2 linked regions of the Elephas maximus indicus genome follow. The protein of the gene in region 2 interacts with the protein of the main gene of each other region in a biochemical or structural test. Links are inferred from orthologs where the notes say so. Each region holds a gene or a part of one and is shown on either strand. Other genes may lie near its edges.

Region 1 (7,310 bases), on a different chromosome or scaffold from region 2:
TAGCAAACTTGTTTTGCGGAAAGACTGCTTCACCTTTTGATCTCAAACATGCAATGATTATATGTTTTGCAGCCTCCCAAACAAAAATAAAAACTTTAAAGAAACAAAACTCTGAAATAGAACTAAAAATGATCTTTGAGGGAAAAAAACTAATCTGAAATCCTCATGCAAAGCTACACCAATAGTTTCTTCACAATTTCATAAAACATTAATGAAAGGGTTACATAAATCCCCAGATTAAAGATTTTAAAGAGAGCTGCAGGGATCTCCTTCAGTTTTCAATACTGCTATCTCTGTTCTTCTATTCACAAAAACACATCTAAATCAACTCCTTCTAAATATAAACCATCTCATTTTCAGAAGAAAATTCAAACCAAGAACAGCACAAAACGTATTTATTCTTAATATAGCTTAAATAAAGTATTATAGTTTACATTTAGTTCCCTCAAACAAATTAAATTCACAACATATAACATGTCCAGTTCATTCTCAAGGGAGAAAACCATCAAAACAAAAGCTCCTGTTTGATAAACTATTCTGTAGTTAAGCCTCTTCTATTGCAGGTGAATTTTGCTATCAAGTATTATCACAACTTATTCTCTCCACAAAAACCTAGAAATCTATAACACATAAGTAAAATATACCTAGTTCCCCTAAAAATGTCTGTTTTGTATCAGTGCAAGGCCAAGAAAAGCTTTAAAAATACTTTTTATTCTCTAAAAAGGAAATACTCTGCCTGCTTTTCTCTTTTCAAATATGTCTTAATTGGTTTTTGATTATTTTCTACGCATGTAATGCTCTCAAATCAGTTCCTTTCAATATTAGATGTTTACTGACAATACATCACTGTATACTTTGGCTTTTCACAGACAATGTCTTACAGGACAGGGGTAAAAAAAGAAAGGGTGAACAGGTGGGCACAAGTGAAACAAAAGCGTACTACATCTGAGAAGCACCACTCAATTTCTCTGCTTCAAATTCCCTTAAGTCTCCATGCCAAAGATTCTCAATATCCAAAAAAGTTCTACAGCCAGGAGAGGTACAACAAAATATGTGATCAGACAGACACCCCCCCCGCCCCCCCAAAAAAACCAGAAGCTAAAGAGATTTAATGGAATCTATATATCACCACCTCAGAAGGAATTACCACAAAAATGAGAAAAATAAATCATAATAAATCTAGTTCCCAGATAGCCCTACTGGAGGGTTGCTTTTGCAGCCACTACATGGCTCAAAACAGTTTTCAGAGTATTCTCACTGCAAGAAATACATTTCACTTTGCAACCTAGTACACACAGGTATTGACCAAGTGCGATGCACTATTCTGTTCTATTTCATTTTATTTTCAATGCAGGTTCTAGCTCACTAAATTGATCTATAACTTACTAATAAACCATGAAAAACAAGCTTAAGAGTGGGTATCCTTCATTTAGGAGCTTTTTTTTTTTGCAATTTGCCTCTACCTGTCTCTTTAGCAGAGTGGATAGGTATCTTAAGGTTGCTGCATTATTATTGTTTTCATTAAAGCAGCGGTTCTTTAAGTGTGGTCCCCTGACCAACATAAGCCTCACCTGAGATAAATACAAACTCTCAGGCCCCACCCCAGACCTACGGAATCAGAAACAATCTCAACAACTCCAGGTGATTCTGATGCAAGGTAACGTTTGAGAATCACCACATTAAAGACCCCAGGTGTTTTCCTTGTCTTCTATTTAACAATCCCATGCACATCAGTTACTATGTCCAATCACTATTCTAGAAGCTCTACAATGATTAACTCATGTAACAACATTCTCATCAAACAGGCAAGTAACTTAACCTTGCTTTTTTTTTTAGGACCTTTTCTCTGGTCCTAGATAGCATCTTAGTATGAATTATGACGCTCAAGTTTCTTTTCTTTCTGAAGACCTTACAACCTATCCATGGCCCCCACCGTTAATGCTTCCTATCTGCTGTTCTGCCAGTTTCCACTCTCTGGGTGAGCAACTTTCTCGCCTTATCTACTACTCCCTTCCTACAGGGAAATTATCTGCCCCCACCCCATCCCATTTTGCTTGACTCCTTTCTATCCGAGGGAACTTCCACACCCCTGCTGGACCCTCACCCCAGTCTCAAACCCCAGCCACTGCTCTAAGGTTTCTCTCCTGGATCCCCGATTATCCTCAGACCCCGAGCTCCCAGTCTAGTCTGTGGGGGGCAGGACACTCCAGTTCCCCCCCAAAGCAGTTCGAGGTCTCCACGGGTCCGACCCTCCGAAGACCCGCCGCTCCTCATCTGTCAGGAGCTCTTCTCCCTCAGACAGCCGCTTTTCTCAGGAAGGTTCCCAGCCCCCTCCCTGCCTTTCCTCAGACGTCCTCACTCGGACCCAGGCCGCTCCCTGTCATCCGGGACCCCCGGCCGCCCTACGTTAGCTTCCCACCTCCCTTCTCCCTCCGACCGGGGCCACTCCCAATTTCCCCGGCCCCCAGCTCTCTCGCTCACGGGCCGCTCCCGAGCTTCCTCTTCTCCCTCACAACACAGCCGTCCTAGGTGTTCCCGAGTCACCCCGCCCTCGAACCAGGTCGTTACCGGTCACCCCCTCTCAGCTATCAGAGACCCCAGCCGCTCCCGTCTTCCCAGGGACCTACCCCTCACACACCGGCCGCTGGTCAGCTCCCCAGACCTGACCACTGGGACGCCCCAAGGGACTTCCCGGCCTGACCTGCTTGGGTCCGGCCCAAGCCTACCTTCTCAGCCGGAACTGCGCCGCCAGAAGCCGGGCCATTCTCCCACCAGCCCAGTCAGCGAGAACTCGCCGCCGCCGCCGCAGCAGCAGCCGCAGCCGCCGCCGCCGCCGCCGCCGCCCCCGCCCTGGCCCCGGCCCCCACCGGGCCCGCACTCCAGGCCCCTTTCCTTTAGTCTCCGTCCCCGGAGCGCCAAGCCGCAGTTTCCGTCCTGCGACAGCCGCCAGGGCTCAGGCCCGCGTTACCGGCACTCACCTGCCGCTGCTCCAGACCAACTCCAGTGCCACTGCCTCTACCTCGGCCGCCAGTAGCCACCTAGCGCCACCACCTCCCCCATGACAACAGTCCCACCCCGTTTCGTACTTCCCACCTACCCATTGGTCAGTGGAGCGGCAGCTCTCTCCTTTGATTGGTTGACCTAACCCGCCCGTCACAGCTTCTTTGCCGCCCCTTTTCCGGGACCCGGTATTTGCCCCCGCCCGGACCTGGAGAGTCCTAGACTAAACTTTAGTTGTGATTGGGCGATGATTGCACAGTTCGACGTTTTGATAGGCTTTTGAAAGTGCCTGTTATGTCAATTGGCAAAGGATGTGACAGCCAAGGTTGGTTCAAGCTTGTGAACAGTTTGGTTGCGCAGTAGCAATCAAAGAAGGGGCAGATACTCACATCTAAGGTTACCGGGAAAGGGTTAACTCTTTGTTGTAGCGTTCCCTCTGTCAACTCCTCCCGTCCTCCAGCTTCCTTCATTTAAGCACAAGCTTATCACTAATAGGCTACTTGTACGGGTAGTAATTACAAAACGCCCACGTCAGAGGGGGAAAGGCACTATATAGATTACAAAAAAAAAAATTTCCCTTTCTTTTCTTTAAGGTCTCAGTGCGCCCAATTTCCTTTAAGTTCTTTCCAGGAGTCTGCACACTAAAAGCGCAACCGTTCATTTAGCAGCAATCAGTCCACTTCAGTTGCAATTAAAAATATCTCTAATAAATTGAAGTGGCATGTTGAGAGTTCTCCAACTTCCGAACTCGCTCCAGGCAGCCAACATCAAGTTTGGACTAAGCAAGCGACATATTATCCTTGCGATGCTCTGGAAATGAGAATCCCGCCCTCCCCACCTCCTTAAATGTGGCTTTTATGTTCAGCACTTCTGAAATAGCCCTACTAGCTGCATGTCAGATACTTAGAAAGCTTGTCTTTTTTTCTAAACCTCTCCTCTTCCTAGCAGTCTTTAGTCTAAATTAGGTCCACAGAATGAATTGCAGTTCTTTTCTCACATGGGCATGATGCGCAAGAATAAATGATGACTTTTTTTTATTCATTTGGGTACAAATCACAGTAGGCATTTTTGGGAAATACGGTGTTGCTATAAAAACTCTTGTGCTTCTACAAATATATTCATCATTAGTTTTTGCTTTGCTTTTTCTTCCCCGCCCCCACTTTTCCTGCTCCTAAATAACAAAATGCTGGCCTGACTACTGCTTCAATTTCTAAATCAGATCTAAACATACCTTCTTCACATCTCTGTTAATACACAAAACTACGGGCCATGAAACATACACCAGGGATGGGATGGAACACCATCAGGAATCCACTCACAGGCACTACTTTATGGTCAGGAACTTCCCGTACAACCAAGAATCTGGACTTCAGAAATTTTGTGCTTTGCCCCTTCTTCCTTCTAACCCTTGGTCTCATCTCTCTTCTATTTGCCCTACTGTTCTTTGCAGAGGAAGCAACAAGAAGTCTAAAACTGTGTGGCTTGTTATCCAGAGAAAAGCTGTCTATTTTCTAGCCTGTATTTTTAGTCATTTAAATAAACTACACACCTCTATCACCAAACTAAGCGAAAATTATTCCTCCAGTAAATATACAGAGCAATAAGGTGTCTTTTCCTAGTTATTTTCCGGAACTTCCCTCCCCCTTCTCTCATCTTCACGTTCCAATTTAGAAATCACCTCCTATTCAATTCAATGACTCATAAAAAGCCTGTAAAAGGAAAATGGAAAAGCCAAAACAACTTTGGAGGTGCCTGAATCATTCAGCAGAAGGAAAGATCAGACGTTGACCATGATAAGATGGAAGCCAAGACATAAGGCAAGCCTGAGCTAACATGCCATAACAGATGAAATAACATGCAACTGTGAAGATGCCCCAGTGAGGAGGCACCACTTGTCCTTTTACACAGCATTTTAACATAGCAGCAGCAGCTTTCTCCCCTCCAGCCTTGGCAGTGTGCTGTACCTACCAATTTTAGAACAAGTTAGAAGGCAATTAATGTCCTGGCAGATAGGAAACAATAACGTCATAGGAGGTCATGGCCATTATTATGGTACTTTGGGTAATAATGGCTCTTGCACAGCTATAGTGACTATGTGCCATAGAGAACATAGAATTAGGCCAGCCTCACTAAGAGAACTTGCCATCTAAGTTCAGCAACTCAACAAAATTACTATCACAAAACTAGGTGGAAAATTGCCACAGAGGTCAGCTAGTCATTCTATTTCACACACTTAAAAATAAAAAAGCATTGATAAATGCTTTTGCTCATACATGCATACATACTTCCATCACACCCACTCCTTGTGAAAATCAGTTAAGAAAATAAATTTAAAATAAGACATGTAAAGGTGATCGTTACGACCTAAGAAGAGGGGAAATCTTAAAGAAGGAAGGTTTTAAGGAACATGCTTTGAACCAACGGAAAACTATTGTGTTATCTAAGCCTGTGAAGTTTTGGAAAGGTTATTGCTTGTAGCCTACGTTTGGGTTTTGCATGCACAAGGTAAACTTACAACCTAATTATTCTTCCCAGATTCTCTTTTCTTTCCTGTGTTATGTGCTTCTCCACTGCTCTCCATGTCCTCCTCTTAGAAAGCAAGAGCACTGGAGTCTGGGAGTCTGCAGCGTTGTTATGTAGCTGGCTGTTGAGGTGGTACAGATGGTTATCCGTTCAGAGCCACTTGAACAAGACCAGGATGGCAGGTATAATAAGGATAAAAACAGCCCTATAAATCCCAATTTAAGTGGGAGGTGGAGGACTCAAAGCGAAGTCCCATTACCTGAGGAGAGATATATATACCTCGGGCTTTATTGTACACTAATGCTACTTTTCTCCTATTCTCTTTTCATAATATCACATTTCAAGGGAGCGGAATGCAAACTCCTTTCATTTCTATTTTAGTCCAGGGAGGCAATCTGGCTGAGGAAAAGTTCCACTTTTTGTTTTTGAGGGGTTTTTTACCCTGGGGTTCTACACACAATTCCAACTGGATTAGAGAAACAAACAACTGGTAGAGAAGAAAAGTGCTCAGATAGCAGACAGGAGCTGGAGCTACCTACTACTAGCAGCTGGAGACAAGCCAAGATATTTGATAAGAGGTGGTTCCCTGAGTTAGTGATCCCTGAAAGTGAAGGCTAAAAGGGATGAAGGAATTGGAGAGGAAGGAGGAGAGAGAGAAGAGATTAAAAAAAGAGAGAGAGCGAGAGAAGGCTAGGAGAGAAGAGGGTAAGGAAAACTAGAAAGAGAGTCAAGAAGTTACAGAGTGCTGAGCCAGCCTGGAATCCTGCCCCCTTCTCTCTGGCTGTGGACTTTACTCTAGGTTGCATAATTCCACCAGCAAAGTGCAGCCCCTGACACTGGTTGAAAGGGGTGGTGTGCCAGGCCTATAGGACTGTTACTCTCCTGCCACCTGGAAATTCTCCCTGAGCTCAAAGCCTGCTGTTCTGGCACCAGGGCAAAGCTGACAAGGAAGGACAGATTCACGCAGCCAGCCAAGGAGTGTGGTTCTTCATGCAATTTCATAAAGGTGACCACTGGCATGGAGTTCTGGCCAAACAATGGGAGATTATCCGGGAGAAGATGTTTTCACCACTCCACACTGGGGAGCGTCCAATACAGGGAAGTGCCAAGCTGCTACACTCCACACTGAAACAAAGCTCTATGGTTCAAAGTTTAAGGTTCTGTTTCATGCAAAAAGAAATGGTAGAAAGGGGCGTTCTGTCAGGCACAATCCTTTGCTTTTCAATTTCAGGGCTCATATGATTTTTAATAAGTGTACCATACCTTCTCATTATTCAGTGTGTCCATGTTCACCCTCAAAAATGTATATGCCCCTCACTCACCCACCCACCATGTATATTATAGGCAAAAGGGCTTCAGTGCTTGTAAAATGAGTGGGCTGCAGCTCTTAGCTCAACCATTGTGTTATTGAATAGAGCCTCTGGTTACTATCACCAGATCTATGGGTGGACCAGCCATTCTTCTGCAGTGGGAGGGAGCCGCTCAAAGCTCTTAGTGCCATTTACAGTTTTATCCATGCCTGTTCTACACACACACAAAGAATTTCCTGGAAACATGGCTATACTCCAAGGATTTCAAAGAGTAGAATCCCTTCTAGAGTTCCAGTTTCTTAGTCACTTGGAACCTCATAAGGAAACAGACTTGAACTCAGACTCTTGAACCTAATATGTTCAGATCCTGGCTCTGCAACTTACTAGCTATACGACTTTGGAAAAAGCTGGTTCTTCTCCCTAAGCTTCAGTTTCTTCATCCAAAAAATGGGAAATACATTAGCTATCTTTTATGAT
Region 2 (7,954 bases):
AGTGTGGCTTCTGCAGAAGGAGAAGGCCCCCAAAAAGCAAAAAAAAAAAAGTAGCATGCATTCATTAGCATCTGACAAAGGAACATTCCGCTCTGTCCATTAAACTGCTCACAGACCTTCGTAATTGGCTTCAGTTGGTGGGCGGGGGCCCGGGGGCTGCTGGTGGGCAGGCCAGCCGGTGGTGCAGTGGGCCGGGTTGTCAGGGGAATGGGCCCATCAACGGTTGGAATGAGGGCGCGCCGGGGGCAGACCGGGAGGCGGAGTGGACGGCTCCCCAGGGCCTCCTCAGTATTCCCATCAGGGGCAAACTCAAGTTGAAGGACATCGGGGAGCAGTGAAAACGTCCCGAGGCAGACTGGCACTCCAAACAGATCTCTCAGCCCCCCTGTGCCCACTCTCCAGCTAAGCCAAGGGCCGTGGATGGCGCTCATGAGGCTGGGAGTTTGCAGAGCCAAGAGAGAAACCAGGCTTCCCGATAGACACCCCCACCCATAGAGATGGGCGGGGCCGGTTCAGGCTTCTCTCCCCAGTTTCACCCTGAGGCCTTGGCGCAATGGGCTGGGGAAGGCCCAGGCCTAGAGAGTTAGGTTTTGTTTTGAAACAGTCAATTTCTTTCTGAGAGGCTCACCTGCCCACAGGTGCTCAACCTGCCCAGAAGAGATGCTCCCCAGGTGGCAGTGGAAGTCCTGACCCCTTGACAGGTCAGCCGTTTCTCAGGGACTTCAGGGAGAAATGGGCTGCCAGGATACCCACCTAGGGCCCAGTAGGCCGAGGTGGCCACGAAGAGGGAGCCCAGGACCCTCCCTCCGAGGCCTGGCCAGCTCACGCGCAGCCTAATTGCGGGTGATTAAGTAATTGCCAGACTTTGTCCAATAAAAGTCAGCACGTGACGTGCCCAGCCTTCTGGGCCATCTCCACCAGACAATGGCCTAGTGTTCTGTCCCCGGCTGCCGCAGAAGGCAGGGACTCCCGCTCCCATAAAGCAACAGGTCCCCGTGGGGGCGCGCATACTCACAGACAGGCCTCCGTGCCATTGGCAAACACTTCACACTTCCCGCCATTCAAGCAGGTCTCCTCACCAGTCTGGGAACATCGCAGGCCTGGGGGGGCCGGGGGAGAGACAAGAGGGTCAGCAGAGCCTCGGCTTCTGGAACGGCCCATCTCTGAGGACAGAAACCTAGCCTCTGTCACCAGCTCCGGACTAAGTGCCGCCATCAGACCTCACCTCGGGGGCCCTTCACTCAGAGTCCTGGGGTTGCAGGGGCAGGGGGCACCGGGAAGCCCCAGAATGAACCCCGAAAGACTTCAAAGTTCCAGTCAGAAATGGGGGCGGGGTGGGCTGGCAGGTGGACAGGCAGTGCTCAAAGTGGGGAGTGACTGATATGCCCCCTGGCAGCAGCGGAGAAAAGTGATGTCTCCCGGCGCCACTCTCCCAACTTTACACCCCCACCTCCCCAGTTTTCTTCAGAGAGCCACACGGGGCTGGGGGCTAGGGCCCCCACCCAGCCACTGAGGCTGTCTTGATGTTTAAACACGCTGCCGGGACGTGGTGGCGGCGGGAGGGTCGGGGCCGCCACACTCGGCTCCCCGCTCGTGGGAAAATGCGACAGCTGCGTGGCCCGCCGCCCCGCCCGCCAACAGAGCGCCGTCGCGGAATCAGAGCGGGCCATTGTCGCGCCGGCCGCCTCCTGCGTCCTGGCCGCCCCGCCCCTGCGGACACCCAATACCTGCTCCCGCGGGGCCATCTCCAGGGGCAGCCCCACCACACCCATGGGAGGGTGGGGAGCCCCGCTGGGAAGGAATGCGACCCCCTTCCCGAGAACCGGTCCATAAACGAGGCCCCGCCCTTCCCTCTCACCCGCCGGACAAGTGAAGCCGTCGGGGGGCGGGGGGAGGGCGCTGTGACAGGGACTCGACTTTCTGAAAGGGGGAAAAATTCTCACCACCAACTTTTTGGGAAGACAGGAATTAATCACCAGATTGCCCGGAGACCCTCGGGATGGGAATCGGGCCAGGAACCGCGCTCCCTCCCACGTCTCTCTCCACCCCCCCCAAGATCGCCAAACTTGAACTCCGCGGAGCAAAGCGAAACTCGGTCCCACCAAGGCGAGTCTTCCGCACTCCCCCAAAAAGTCTGTAATCCGGGATCCGCACCCCCCCCCAAAGAAAGGCTGTGAGCCGGGCTGGCGGCCGGCGATCCCGCCCGGGGAGGGGAAGTCCGCGGGGGTCGGGGACCGGAGCCGCTCCACGCGCCAGCCCGCGCGAACCTTCCTGAAGGCCAAGGAGGCCGGTCGGCCCGGACCCCGCTTCCCACGGCGCCTTGCCGGCCCCGGCCGCGAGGGCTGGCCAAGGGGAACACAGAGCCGGGACCCCACGCTCCGCGCCCCAACATCCGCCCCCGGCGCGGGCCCAATGCGCAGAAACAAGACTAATGGCTCCGAGAAGCAACAGGAAACCAAAACCCACTAGATTCAAATCGAAAAGTGGTAGGCAGTCCGCGCGCCACGCGGCAAGCCCACGCGTGGCCGGGGAAGGCGAGCTTGGCGGCGGGGCCCCAGACCCCGGGACCGGCGCCCCGCGCCCAGCTCTTGATGCGGCCCCGGCGCCGGGCAGCGCGAGTCCGCCCTGCCTTGGGGGTGGGGGTGTCCCAGTCCTGGCCCGGGACTCCCGGTCTCCTCGCCCCGCCCGAGGCCCCCGGGGCGCGCGCGCAGCGCCGCCAAAGTTGGAGAGGGGCGCGGAAAGTTGCGGGCTCGCGGGGCGGCGCCTACCTCGTGCAGCGGGGAACGCCGGCAGCAGCACCAGGCAGAGCAGCGGCGCCAGGAGCGGCGGCATGCCTGCTTCCCCGCGGCGCTCCGCTGGCTGGGCGGCTGGCTGGGCGCACTCGCGCCGGGGGTCCCGCTCCGCCCTCTGCTTCCCGGGGGCGGGCGGGCGGCGCTGGCTCTCGCGGGCTCCGGCACCGGCTCCGCTTGCGATTGGTACCCAGCGCTCGCCCCGCGCCTTGCGCTCCCTCCCGCAGGCCGAGGCACTAGTGAGGCGCTGGGCCGCCTTGTGTTCCGCCCCGCCGGGCCCCGCCCCGCCCCGCCGGGCGGCCCCGCCCCACCGTGAAGCCCCGCCCCTCACACCCCATCCGCGATCCGTCTGAACCCCGATTCCCGGCCGGCTGCGCCCCTCGGCTGTGCACCCCGGGATGCGCCCCTCGGTGGGAACGCGCTGCCAGGCCAGGCGCTCGGGACCGGGGCCGCGCTCGGGAGGGTGGGCCAGGGCAGGCACTACTTGTTGGTTCGAAGTTTCCGAGGCCAAAACTTTGGGACGCATTGCGGAAGGATCCGTCTCGGCCGCTGCCGCCTCGGCGACAATTGGGGACAATTTGCATCTCAATGGCTGAGGAGGAGCGGCGGAGTGGGGAAATGAGAGGCCCCGGAACCGTGCCGGCGGGGCAGGGGCCGGGAGGCTGGGCTGATCCGCCGAGGCCGAGCTTGGGGATCCCGGCCCGGGCGGGGCTCCACTCCCAGGGCCCTGCTCCGGCCCGAGAGCCCAGGCCTGACTCCCACCGGGACGGCCGCAGCGCTTGGCCCTGAGGACCATGGCGCCACGGTTCAGCCTCTGGGGAATGGAGTCGGGCACCCCGAGGGGAGGCCCGCAGCCACCGTCTCGCGAGGGGGGCGCTCAGCGGCTCCCCCGGAGGGCCCCACGGTGGACGCTCCTCATTACTGCCTGCCCCTGGCGCCAACCACCCGTGGGCCCTGGAGAGCCAGCCCTGGCGCGGCCTCCGGGCTGGCCTACACGTGCTCTGCCTGGGCGATGTGTTTCTCTGCGCGATGCCCCAATAGGGTGCCCTGTGCCAAGCCGGCTAAGCGCTGGGCGCCCAGAATGACTGCCACAGTCCCTGTCCACCAAAGGTAGACGGACTAGCCCCAGGGACAGGCACCCCATCCTGCATCAGGGCAGTGAGCCCAAGGGCAGGAGGTGCACCCACCGAGCTGCGCGTCCTGGAGTAGGCGATGCCAGCTGAGGGGTAAAGGCTGAGAGACCTAGTGGGGAAGGGTGTTGGGGATGGGAACACCCACAGGACTGCTGGGGTCCCCAGGCTTCTGGAGGAAAGGAGGCAGCCCTGCTTAGGGAGGTGGGCAGACTCCCACATGGCCAAGCCCGCTTCCTGCCTGTCTTGGCCCACCTGTTGCTGCGCAGCCACCGCAGGGAGACCCTGCCAGTCCAGCCCCTCGGCTGCTGGAGGCCCTTGGCTGCTGGAAGCCCCCGGGCGCCTCCTCCCAGAAGCTGGCGGCCCTCCTTGGAACCTTGGGTAACTTCTCGAGGTCAGTGCCCCAAGGAGGCGCCTCCAAGTAGTGGATATGTTTATGTAAGAGCAGCCGGCAGCCTGGAGGAGCAGGCTTTCCCCTAAAAGGAAGAGAGGGGTGCAGTCCCCACCCCATTTACAGACCTGGGACTCCGGGGGCATCTCACCCCCAGGCCCCTCTGCCTCTGGCCCGACTCAGGGCCTCAGGCCTGGCCCCTCAGGGTGCCACTGCCTCTGTGCCTTCTATCTGACCTCACCAATTTCCCTGGGCCACAAGTGAAGGCCCGTCCAGCTCTGTTCTGGGAGCCACTGCACACCCATCCACCCAGGAGCAGGCTGGAAGGCCAGGGGAGGAGACGGGGAGCACAGCATGGGGTCTGGGGGTCTGGGTCCAGCTGTAAGGATAGCCTGTCCACTCTGAGCCTCTGTCCTCCATCAGTGGGAAGATTGTGGCCCACTGGATGCCCATGGTCCGACCATGCAGGAAGTGGGCCCTCTCATTACCCACCTTACAGACAGCAACTGAGCCACAGACCGTGCAGCTGGCCTCCCAGCTGGGCTGCCTAAGGTCTCCACCACCTGGGGTCCCTACAAATGGCCAGGAGCAAGGGGACCCCAGGAAAGCCAAATGTAGCTGGAGGTGCAGAGGCTGAGGGTGTGGGCCGGGTAGGGACCTCCCCTCCCCTGAGGCCTGAGAACGAACGGGTGGGCCTGACTCCTGGCAAGTAGGTGAGAAGCTTTTTTATTCACAAATTAGGCTGAATATTTCTGACCTTCCTGTCTTTTACCCACTTTGGCCTGGCCAGGGAGAATGGGGCTCCTGACCAAGCAAGAGTGAGGCTAGGACTTCTGTGACCTTCTCCAGTGGGGGCAAGCAGCCTGGGGGTAACCCTGGGAAGTGGGCCTTGGGGGAGCTATGGAGAAATGATGGGGGGTGTATGTGGGGCACCTGGGATCCCAGCAGTAGAGTGTGGGAGGGACCTGGAGAAGCTGAATGGGGGCTCCAACTATGATGCAGCTTGTTGTGGGTACCCCTGGGCTGCACCCAAGCTGGCCAGGGAACCTGGGACCAGTCTGGGGGAGACTGGAGGGGTAGCTTGCAGAGGGGGGCAGGGGTGCCCAGTGGCCACCTTCTTCTCCAGGTGCCAGCATTATTGGGGTATCCTCATGGGAGGGGCTGGGGAGGCCTACTGACATTGGCCCATTCCTGTCCCCCAAAGGAAGCCCTCCCAGCTCCAGCCTGCAGGGCCATGGCCACTACTTTTCAGGACAGATGGGTCCTATGTTAACATAGAGGTGTCTGTCTGGCCCCAGCGTCTGGGCCCTTCTTTGTAGCAGTCAGCCCACAGACACTCAGGCGGTGCCTGCTGTGTACTCAGCCCCGGTTCTGTGAGGCACAGAGACCCTGGCCACCCGGTATGACCTTCAGCATGTGCAGACAGCTCAGGGCGGGTAAGGCTTCAGAGGGGAATCTGAGATCACAGGAGAGCAGTTTCCCCTGAAGTTCCAGGTGCCCTCCATGACCCCTGCAGGCCTGGGGGGCACGACACTCCCCATTTTACAGGTGAGGGAGTTGGGGTTCAGAGATGCTGTTAGGAGACTGGCTAGGGGGCAGCAGGCCCAGCATTGGTCTTCTGCAGGCGCCCGGCAGATGGGCCCAGAAAGCGGTGGGCTGTCTGTGTACGCGGCAGTGCTGGGGACCTTGCCCTGAACCCCACCCTCAAGCTCATGCCCATGATATGGGGGCGGCAGCCTGGAAGAGGTGCAGGGAAAGGAAGCTTGGTGTGGGGAGGGTGGCTTGGAGTCTTCAGGCCAAGAGGAGGCTGGGGTGGTGGTCAGGAGGCCAAAGTTTGGAGGATGGACTGACTGTGGGCGTGGCATGGTATGGCATGGCTCGTGGTGAGTGATGTGTCTCATCTGAGTGGTGGGTGCCACTGGGGAGTTGTGGGAAGATCCGGAATGCCTAGGGGTGAGGCCTCTCCACCCTTCGAAGTTCACTGTAAAATCTCTGACCTGCTTGCCAAGCTCCAGCCCTGGGGCCTGAGAAGTGGCCAGCTCCAGGGGTTCTCCTGCCTAGTGCTGCACCCCACAGTCAGGCCTACACCAGACCTGTCCGTCAGCTCTGAGCCAAGCACTGGACTCCAAATTCCGGCCTACCACTGCCCTGCTGGCCGTCCACGGGCTATCACTCACCCTGGGCCTCAGTGCCCATCGAACGAGTGATCCTAAAGCCTTTTTCCATTTCAAAAGTGGCCGGTCAACTTCGGAGGATTTCACCCCTCCTATAATAAAAAAAAATAAATAAAATAATTTTTTTTTTTTTTATTGGGACCAGGTCAGGAATGATTCTGTAACTGCAGACGTAAATGAGGGCAGCGTATACATTGCAAGACAACCAAATCTGTTGCCCGTCAGACTTTGACCAGTCAGACTTTGACCCACCAGACTTTGACCCGTCAGACTTTGACCCAGGAGGAAACGAACAGCGATGCCCTGTTCAAAGATGGCGGCTGGCTGCGCTCCTTGGAATGTGTGTCACTCTCCGCAGTCCTGCCAATAATCCAGCCTCCCGCATTAGGCTCCTGAAATTTTCGGGATCTGGCAGTTACAGAACTGTTCGCAACCTGTTGGAAGCCCTGCCTGAGAGTGGAAAGGGGCTGGCTGATCTCTAGTGTTTGCTTCCCTGCCCCCACCCCATCACAGAGCCCCTCTCCCCCAGGCCCAAGAGTGCACCCAGCTGCCCGCACCTGGCCAGCCTGCTTGCAGGTACTAGATCCCGCCCTGGGACATATTTGCCAGGCCCTGATGGGGGAGCCCCTCAGGCTCCACAACCCCTTCTCTTGCCTCCAGGTCTCACAAACATTTCTTGCTGAGGTGACCTCCCCCGTTTGTCCCTGAGTGACCGCTCAGTCTCCACCCCCTGCAGAAAGCTGTCCCAGAGCCCTGGGCAGAGTTGGGGGCCTTTCCCTGGACCCCCAGCCCCTCCGGGCTCCCAGCACTGATCCCTCAGCACGGCTAAGACTTGTTTGGTTCCTGGAAGGGAGGCGCTGCCCTGAAGGCAGGGAGGGACCTGTCTTTGCTGGGTCCTGACACCCACAGGGATGCTACCAGAAGGGCGGTAGAAGGAGGGTCCGAGGGAACAGGGGCACAGGGCCAGCAAGCGCACAGTGCAAATTCAGCTTGTCCCCCAGCCCCCTGCTGGTGGACACTTTGACCAGAGCTCCAAAGCCCTCCCCAACACGGGGTCTCCCATCCGAGGCAGCGGGTGGCTGTGAAACCCGCAGGCTGGAGGGTCAGCACCCCAGAGGCAGGCCTGTTCCCTCCGCAGGAGGCTCAGGAGAGTGGTGCCCGGGCATGTCCCCCCACATCCCTGGCTAGCGCAGGTGAGCTGACAAGGCCTGCTGGTGGTGGGCTGAGGGCTGCAGGACCAGCCTGTGGGCCACCTGGGACTCCTCATTCAAGAAATGGGGCTGCCAGGTGGGCAGTGGTGCTGGCCAGGTGGGCAGTGGTGCTGGCCCAGGGGAGACAACCCTGCCTGTCCTTTCCCGCTGGTGCAGGGCTACCTCACCTGTCCCCGGAGCCCTGACAGCTCAGAGCACAGATGCCGAGGGGCTCAGAGAAGATAGCGGGCAGCGCCAATAGGTTTTCCAAACTCTGAAA

The links. The genes of interacting proteins can lie anywhere in the genome.
Region 1: the proteins of NOTCH1 (region 2) and NUMB form a complex in vitro, tested with the Homo sapiens proteins (2 studies listed by BioGRID). The link is inferred for Elephas maximus indicus from reciprocal best matches to the Homo sapiens genes NOTCH1 and NUMB.

Annotation. Positions count from the first base shown.
Region 1 is NC_064828.1:86,240,611-86,247,920, forward strand, and holds the start of NUMB (protein numb homolog), read right to left. Parts: upstream 3,063-7,310; 5' UTR 2,979-3,062; intron 1-2,978. UniProt on the Homo sapiens protein: Regulates clathrin-mediated receptor endocytosis. Plays a role in the process of neurogenesis.
Region 2 is NC_064827.1:3,026,878-3,034,831, forward strand, and holds the start of NOTCH1 (neurogenic locus notch homolog protein 1), read right to left. Parts: upstream 3,034-7,954; 5' UTR 2,833-3,033; coding exon 2,769-2,832; intron 1,101-2,768; coding exon 1,016-1,100; intron 1-1,015. UniProt on the Homo sapiens protein: Functions as a receptor for membrane-bound ligands Jagged-1 (JAG1), Jagged-2 (JAG2) and Delta-1 (DLL1) to regulate cell-fate determination.